2 linked regions of the Mus musculus genome follow. The protein of the gene in region 1 interacts with the protein of each later gene in a biochemical or structural test. Links are inferred from orthologs where the notes say so. Each region holds a gene or a part of one and is shown in the gene's direction. Other genes may lie near its edges. The genes, in order: Mc4r and Pomc.

The links.
Region 2: the proteins of Mc4r (region 1) and Pomc form a complex in vitro, tested with the Homo sapiens proteins (2 studies listed by BioGRID). The link is inferred for Mus musculus from reciprocal best matches to the Homo sapiens genes MC4R and POMC.

What each region holds. Positions count from the first base shown.
Region 1 is NC_000084.6:66,857,642-66,862,029, reverse strand, and holds Mc4r (melanocortin receptor 4), read left to right. Parts: upstream 1-1,542; 5' UTR 1,543-1,989; coding exon 1,990-2,988; 3' UTR 2,989-4,325; downstream 4,326-4,388.
Region 2 is NC_000078.6:3,953,457-3,957,974, forward strand, and holds the start of Pomc (pro-opiomelanocortin preproprotein), read left to right. Parts: upstream 1-1,488; 5' UTR 1,489-1,590; intron 1,591-1,931; exon of another isoform or gene 1,932-2,107; intron 2,108-3,362; exon of another isoform or gene 3,363-3,473; intron 3,474-4,518.

The sequences.
Region 1 (4,388 bases):
GCTATGAAAACCAGATGCACTCTATGCCCAAGGGCAAGAGTTACTCAGAAAGATTATTCAGTTAACCACGTGATACTTAAACAACTCCACGGAGTTCTTCTCTATCACTTATTTACTGGTTAGATAATTCGCCATTGGAGAAAGTGTGAAAAGGAACATGAATATGTAAATCATCCTTCTTAAGGGCTTTAGTGAAGTGTCTGGAGGGAACAACTGCCAGCTGCTGTAACAGCTGAGCCACTTGGGAGTTTACAATAGTAAAAGCTGCCCCTTGTTCCTAGCGCATTTGCGGTCGTTGGTCAGCTCAAGATGGAATGAGTCTAGAGGGGGAGCTCTATTCTGCACAGTTACTTAGTAGGGGGCTTCTACACCACAGAGCATCTAGAAACTCTGCAGTCATTTTCCAAACAGGAGAAAAAGTATAATCAAGAGAAAGGTGACGCAATGAGTACCAACTCCTGTACTATTAGTCAGAATTCAGTAGTAGGTCCTACTCAGTTCCTGAGTTGCATGGCAACACTAACTTAGCACAGTGTTCTGAAGAAACGGTTAGCATTGTCTCTAACACACACACACACACACACACACACACACACACACACACACACACACACGGGGTGCGGGGGGGAATGGGGGCGGGGGCGGGGCTCAAAGCTAAGTGGCCATCTCTTCAAAGCAACACACATGAATGTGCACTCACTGGAGCTAGCCTGAGTAAGTACGGAGCCAAAGTGTTTACAGTTTCAGGTTGTGATGCTTCCAACTATGGAAGAAGAAAAATAAACAAGTTAAAAAACAAAAACCAGAACACTATCTTTAAAAAAAAAAACAAACAACAAAACATCAACAAAATCCTACCAACCTAACCAACAATAACAACAACAGACCATGCAGAATATTATCACATTGTTGATTTGTCTAAGTTCACAGACAATACGCTTTCACAAATGCCACTTGAACTTTTTAAAATACAGTGAATGACCACTTTTCCAGCCGTTAGAGCAGAAACTGCAAATGGAGAAACAGCTACCAGCACGCAAGAAGTGAACCTGGTCTTAATCTCTGGCTTTGCTGTAATTCTCCACAGCATACTCATCTATTTAATTAAATTACTGCCTGCATTTCTAGTCTTTCAAACTGAGCCTTCCGTCATTCAGGGGGGCATCCTGGGCAGAGGGGCAGCGCCTGCTTCGGGAGCCAGGACAGCTGCTTTTCATTTCTTTTTTTTATCCACAATCACGCATGAGTTCAGTCTCAAGGAGGAAAGAGCCTGGCTGATTCCCGAGGATTTCAGGAGTATCTCAGAATGTGCTCGAGCAATCAAGTCATTTCTCTTAAAACTTGGAAAGGAAAATCCCGTGATACCTTCCCACCCCAGCAGCCCTAGCCACTGAGCCGGTTGCTGCGCTGTAATCTATCTGTGCAAGATCGATGTCTCAGAACCACTGAATACGGATTGGTCAGAAGGAAGCAGAGGAGGAGCCATTCAGAACACCCCCCACCCCCCGGCCCCCCTCCGTCTAACCATAAGAAATCAGCAGCCCGCACTAGGCTGCTCTGGCTCACAAAGATGCTCAGGAAGCTGAACTTCTGAGAGGCTGCGGTGTGAGTGTGGGCGCGCAGATGCAGACGCGGCTCCCAGCAGTACAGCGAGTCTCAGGGAAAAGGACTCTGAAAAGACCCCGAGTGAATACTAAAGTGAAAGCCGCACTGAGAGAGAGAGAAAAAAAAGCAAACAGCAGACTGGTCAACCGAGAATGAGCATTCAGAAGCACCAGCTTCTAAAGAGACGATGATCTGAGCCGAACCCAGAAGAGACCAACAACTCCTTTGCGAGTTCCGCTGCTTCTGACCCTGCTCCTAGCAGGCGCCAAGCGCAGCCTCCCAACTTCTACAGGCATACAGACTGGGAGAGAATCACTCGGAGCTTCCCTGACCCAGGAGGTTGGATCAGTTCAAGGAGGACTCAAATCCAGCTGCTGCAGGAAGATGAACTCCACCCACCACCATGGCATGTATACTTCCCTCCACCTCTGGAACCGCAGCAGCTACGGGCTGCACGGCAATGCCAGCGAGTCGCTGGGGAAGGGCCACCCGGACGGAGGATGCTATGAGCAACTTTTTGTTTCCCCCGAGGTGTTTGTGACTCTGGGTGTCATAAGCCTGTTGGAGAACATTCTAGTGATCGTGGCGATAGCCAAGAACAAGAACCTGCACTCACCCATGTACTTTTTCATCTGTAGCCTGGCTGTGGCAGATATGCTGGTGAGCGTTTCGAATGGGTCGGAAACCATCGTCATTACCCTGTTAAACAGTACGGATACGGATGCCCAGAGCTTCACCGTGAACATTGATAATGTCATTGACTCTGTGATCTGTAGCTCCTTGCTCGCATCCATTTGCAGCCTGCTTTCCATTGCGGTGGACAGGTATTTCACTATCTTTTACGCGCTCCAGTACCATAACATCATGACGGTTAGGCGGGTCGGGATCATCATAAGTTGTATCTGGGCAGCTTGCACTGTGTCAGGCGTCCTCTTCATCATTTACTCGGACAGCAGCGCTGTCATCATCTGCCTCATTTCCATGTTCTTCACTATGCTAGTTCTCATGGCCTCTCTCTATGTCCACATGTTCCTGATGGCGAGGCTTCACATTAAGAGGATTGCTGTCCTCCCAGGCACAGGGACCATCCGCCAGGGTACCAACATGAAGGGGGCGATTACCTTGACCATCCTGATTGGAGTCTTTGTTGTCTGCTGGGCCCCGTTCTTTCTCCATTTACTGTTCTACATCTCTTGCCCTCAGAATCCATACTGCGTGTGCTTCATGTCTCATTTTAATTTGTATCTCATACTGATCATGTGTAACGCCGTCATCGACCCTCTCATTTATGCCCTCCGGAGTCAAGAACTGAGGAAAACTTTCAAAGAGATCATCTGTTTCTATCCTCTGGGAGGCATCTGTGAGTTGTCTAGCAGGTATTAAGTGGGGGACAGAGTGCAAACTAGGTAGATACCTGCAGACTTTGTCACTCTGGCCCGATCTGAGCAGTGTACTTCCCAACAGCTGCCTCTTCTGTGTAATGCTTTGGTTGAAAATATCTACTGTATAAATGTAAGTTTGTGACTTTTGACATGGAAAAAAAAGTCTCAACGTGTTATGTTTATTGACACGCTATTTTTTTTGTTTGTAAAATGCTTATTTATGTTCTATATAGTGTGGGCGTTATGAATTGACATGAAAGAAAAACAGACACCCTTATTAAAACTTTGACAGTGTTTCTTTCCTGTTATTTATCAAGGTTCCACACTTGTTCTTTCTGTAGTGGCCGAAATCAGAACCTTATTAAACGTGTTCTCAGCTGTTCTCATGTATTAGCCCCACAGTACTGCAGAGGCACTGACCCCACTGTTTATGGGGAAATATTTAAACACTACATGCTTGATCATTAAAATGAGTCAGCTCTCTTAGTGAAATTTCGAGCAATCGAATAAAAGCTTGCCTATTATCCTTGCTGTCCAAATACACTGATGCTTCTTTTTAAGTAAAGGAAAGAGAAAGGGGGAAGAAGCAGCTACTGAGGAGAAAGTGAGATTTCTGTCACATGCATTTCTCCAAGAAGGAATGGTTCATTGCCCGAGACTCAGAGTTCACACAGGCAAGTCAGCTGTGGTAGGGGAAATGCCCACTTAATAGATTAAAGATATTATAATAGATAATAATAGATAAAATAGATTAATAGATAAAATAGATACCAATCTTAATAGATTAAAGTGTCCTGTTAAATATAAACTGTCCACACCATGCTGAAATTTCCTATGCCAAATGATACCCCACCATAACAGAATGATTTCTTTCTGGCTTCTTACCAGGGATCTGGTTCCTACAGAAAGGTCTAGAACAGCTCCCTCTGCACTTAGAGGTCCAGCGTTCATTTCATCTTAGAGTTAATAGTGAGTTGTGCTATCTTTCATGTGGCGGGGGACTTGTTGTTCACTTTCTGATTACTTTTTGAGCTGGAATATAAGTGCTGAAGATCAAGTGATTTAATTCCCAAGCCAAATCCACATCACAAAACATTTTGGGACAGGGTTTGTAAATATCTAAAGTGTGGAGCCCTGTGGTGCTTGCACATAACGAGATGGAAAGAGAACACAAATGGGGTCCTGGAAGGTACAGTAAAACACCCTGCTGTTCTTAGTCATGTCTTGGGATGGGGAATGCTTGTTTTCTCCAAACTAATACCAAAGGTGTGGCCACTGAGCAACCAAATCTATGCTTTCTAGTCTGTGTATACTTTGAAATAAAAGGGATAAAAATCTACATTAGGCCTATGACTAGAGGCCAACTTTCCTGTGATTCAATTGATAGTGTCTCCCAATGCG
Region 2 (4,518 bases), on another chromosome or scaffold:
ATAAAGCAAAGGAAAACAAAGACAAAATCACCACAATTAGAGAGCTGGTGAGCCTGATGTCGGTGAGGGCAGAGGTGGATGGGAGGTTGAAGACAGAAGTGTATTAGTTCAAGTATAATAAGCTACATATACAGATGAGACAAGAATGGGGTTCCCTGCCGAACACAGATCATTTCTCAGGCTCCTGGCAGAAATAATAGCCAAAGGGGGCTTAATATGAACTGGGAGATGATGGGGAGTAACCTCACTGGAGGGACAGAGGGTGCTAAGCTTCCGGGAAACACTCAGGGAAGTAGAGGCAGAAAGTAGTGCTCATGGAGTATGAGTGTTGGGAGTATGTGACACCCAGGATACAAGATGGACAGCAGGAAGTCACTCCGGAAAGAGGCCACAGCCAGGTGACACACTCCTTGCTCTTGTTTGGGAGCTTGGTGTGTTCTCTCATGGCACAAAAGGAAAAGATTTTTGGATGCCAATCAGAAAAGCTGAACTCTCAAAGGAGCCCTGGAATCCCCCAAACAAAACAAAGCAAATAGACAAGCAAACAGCGTCTAACTGGGGAGTGAAGTTCCTTCAGCTGGTAGATTAGGCAGGCACCCCGACTGGTCTGGTACAGGCCTGGTCCTGCTGCCAGCCACAGCTCTCTTCACAAGTTTTGCTCTTTGTGCTGGCTCAGGTAGATGCCACTGCAGGTCTGTTCTTCCTTCTGTTTTGGCCTGTGAGTTCACAGCTAAGCCAGAATGCCTGGGCCTGGCCACATGGTGAGGGCTGTCAGACAATCCCCACCCAGACCATTCTGCCAGCTCAGCCCCGGGATGGCTTCCATTTCCATTGCCCACCACAGAGCGCTGCACCTCTTGGTTAATAGTCTGAGGCTGGCATGACCTTGCCCTTAGAGTTTGGGCACAGAAGGACACCTGTCTTGAAATAAGTATTGGGGAATCAAGGCAGGCACACACCCCACTCCAAAAGGTAGCCTGCCTTGGGCGGCCGTGACTCTTGACAGCCTCTGTTGTCTCCCTTCTCAAAACGGAACTGAGATTTTGGTTTCACAAGATATCACACTTTCCCATCATTGGGGAAATCTGCGACATAACAAATCCCCTTCCTCATTAGTGATATTTACCTCCAAATGCCAGGAAGGCAGATGGACGCACATAGGTAATTCCACTCCGATCTGCAAGATCTCAGAACTAGGCCTGCCTCGCACAGGGACGCTAAGCCTCTGTCCAGTTCTAAGTGGAGATTCAACACCATTCTTAATTAAGTTCTTCCTAACCACCAGCGCCAGGTGTGCGCTTCAGCGGGTCTGTGCTAACGCCAGCCTCCGCGCTTTCCAGGCAGATGTGCCTTGCGCTCAGCCAGGACCGGGAAGCCCCCCTCCCGAGGCCCGCCGCCCCCCTTCGCTGCAGAAGCGCTGCCAGGAAGGTCACGTCCAAGGCTCACCCACCCAACCCTGCAAGTATAAAAGAAGAGAGAAGAGCGACAGGGACCAAACGGGAGGCGACGGAAGAGAAAAGAGGTTAAGAGCAGTGACTAAGAGAGGCCACTGAACATCTTTGTCCCCAGAGAGCTGCCTTTCCGCGACAGGTAAGGGTGTCTCAGCTCTGGACAGCTCCCTTACTCTGAGCTCTGACCCCGGACCTTGGGATCCTCAGCAGACTGGCGTTCTGGTTTGTAGCGGACCTGACCTCTTCTCAAACTTCTGAGATGGGAGAGAGCTGAGCCCGGATGATGGGTTGACAGACTGCTCCAGAGAGCAGGTGGTTTGGCGACTCCATCTGGGGATGGTCCCAGAGTCCGCATGGAGGAATGAAGTGTTGGGAGGCTTAGGATTGTCTTAGACTCCGACTGGCCCCTGGGGAGATTTTGGGAGAGTTCCCCTTTAGGCTTCTCCTTCCGATTGTTTGGACTTGTATATCTTCTTTAAGGCAGGAGACTGAACATGTTGGAAAGATAGCGGGAGAGAAAGCCGAGTCACAATAAACTCCTAATGGTGGAGTTCATTTGTTGTTGCTGTAGACGTCCAAACCCTCGTTTCTCTGCGCATCTTAGCAGATCTGGGGTGGTTGCATTGTGATAATTACGTGGGTTATAGGACAGGACGGTAAGTAGGTTCTTGTCTTCAAGATCCAGCTCAGATTTAAAAACAGGGTGTGGGAGGGAACTGTCCAAGGTTCTGAAATACTCCGTCTACTTTCGGAAGCCTTTATAAAACTGTGGGGGCGTTGCAGCAATTTGTAAGGACCCATACTCAGGTAAAGGACATTTCAAATGGAGAGAAAGATTCCCTCAAGTTTTCCATGTATAAATCATGGGAAGCTTTCACAGAATGGCTGGAAGGAGTTAAGTAAAATGAAAAGAAGTTTGTCAATGTATAAAGTAAGTGCAGATTGTTTCCTTTGGGTCTTATAGAAGTTGAAGCAAACGCACTGTGTATGGATGAAGCCGCATCTCTGTGCCTCTCAGATTTATACACAGCTTGTCGCAGTCACTCTGAGAGCAGAACATATAAGCTCTACTGAGTTCAGAGACTTTTCTGGGGCCCTAATAAGCGCAGTTCTGTCAAAATGAATAAACCACAACCTTCTGTCTTCCAGAGATGTTAATGACTGGAACCTGACACTCTCCTATCTATGAAAAGCACAGCATTTGACATTTCCCTCAATACTTTTGATTAAAAAAAAAAAGAGGCACAAATAAGACATTTGTTTCATTGTAAGAAAAGGGAGAAATACAAATAAAATGCTCTAGGAGTGGGGCATAAGAATTTCAGCACACAGTGGGTGGGCTAGGAAGAGAAGGCACAATTTTGAAGGCCTGAAATCTCAACTGTGGCTCCTTCAAAGATGGTCACACAACTTTCAGGACAATGGAAACTTAGTGAGAGGACTTGCATGATCTTACTTTTCTTTACTAATATGTTTTCATGCTATTTATCATTTTTTATGCTTTCCTATCTGGGGGAATTTTGTGATCTCAGCATTTTGAGCTAATTTGCTCCAGTCTGAGCCTGAGCCCCAGCAATGGTGAACAAGGTTGCTTCTAGGCTGAGGTACGGACCACATAGTTCAATGACTGCTAGCGCCTACTAATGGTTGTTCTGAAAAAGACACTCAGAGCTTGCAGGAAAAACCAGCTCTAGAAGAATGGTGCAGGGGTGGAGCAGAGAGGAGAAAGAGATTCTTGAAGGAAGACTTTCACTTCCAAATCCTCCCTTTCAAAAATAGAGGTTTGGCTCCCGTCTTTATTTTCTGTCATATTCATCTTAAAATGCAAATGTTCATCAGGGGTAACAGACACTTAAGTCATTTACATCTTTTTTAAAATTATTACATTTTATTTTATTTTATTTTTTTCAGGTCAGGGTATTTCTGTGTAACCCTAGCTGTTCTGGAATTTTTTCTGTAGACCAGGCTGGTCTTGAACTCAGAGATCCTCCTGCCTCTATTTCCTGGGTGCTGGGATTAAAGGTATGAGCCTGGGTATTTACATCTTACTATGAACTAATTTTTCTAATCTAATTAAATGTCTTCCTAACAGCTGGTAATCTGAAATCCAGAATGAGTGTAAAGTTGGTGGGGAACTTTTACAGAGTAGGGTGACATTAGGGGTCCTTGGGTGAGGGGGAACAGATATCACAGGCTAAGAACCTAGCAGTGTGAGGGAAGAGCTGGACACCAGGGGACCAAAGTTGCTCTCTCTCTCTCTCTCTCTCTCTCTCTCTCTCTCTCTCTCTCCTGCCTGTTGGTCTTTTGACCTCCATATCTGCCCAGAGGTGCTTTGCATTCCTCCACAGTATCTTAGTCGTTCTCCACTGTGGAGGCAGCTTCCTTTCCATTCTTTTGCCTATCTCTCTGTCCTCAATATTGACATCCTCTTCAAAATCACATATTTCAGACTACAAGACTTATGATGTGTGGTGTGTATGTTTAGAAAACAGGATAGTTTTAAGGGAAGTGGAATCTGCTTTAGAGAGAAATCTTCCCAAAGTTACTAGGGTCTAGAAAATGACAGTCACCAGGCAATTTGTGTATAGAATATCAAACCTTGATTAAGTGGACTGGCTTTATTTGCCTGTATTCAAACCTACCTTTCATGGGAAATGATCAAATGTTAGGCGAAAGGAACCAAGGCAGGACTTTCCTATCTTTTGTCTTAGTTACTCTCACCCTTTGGATACAGAGTGTTGAACTATAGCTTTCTCCAGGCAGTGAACTTAGAAGCTATGTGGGAATGTGGAAAAACATACTTTTACTTCATCATGGACATAAAAGAAATGATCTTTTGGGGGCATCAGCTTTCCCACCTCCCAAATGAGGGGTTGGGCCAAGTGATATGGCAAATAGCTTCACCTAATTTTTTAAGGGTCTGATTTTAACAGGAAACAGAGAGGGAAACTGCCCATAGCTTGTGCTGTGCTCTCTACCCCTATCCCTTTCATCAAACACACACACACACACACACACACACACACACACACACACACACACACACACCTTCCATCTTCTGAGCCCC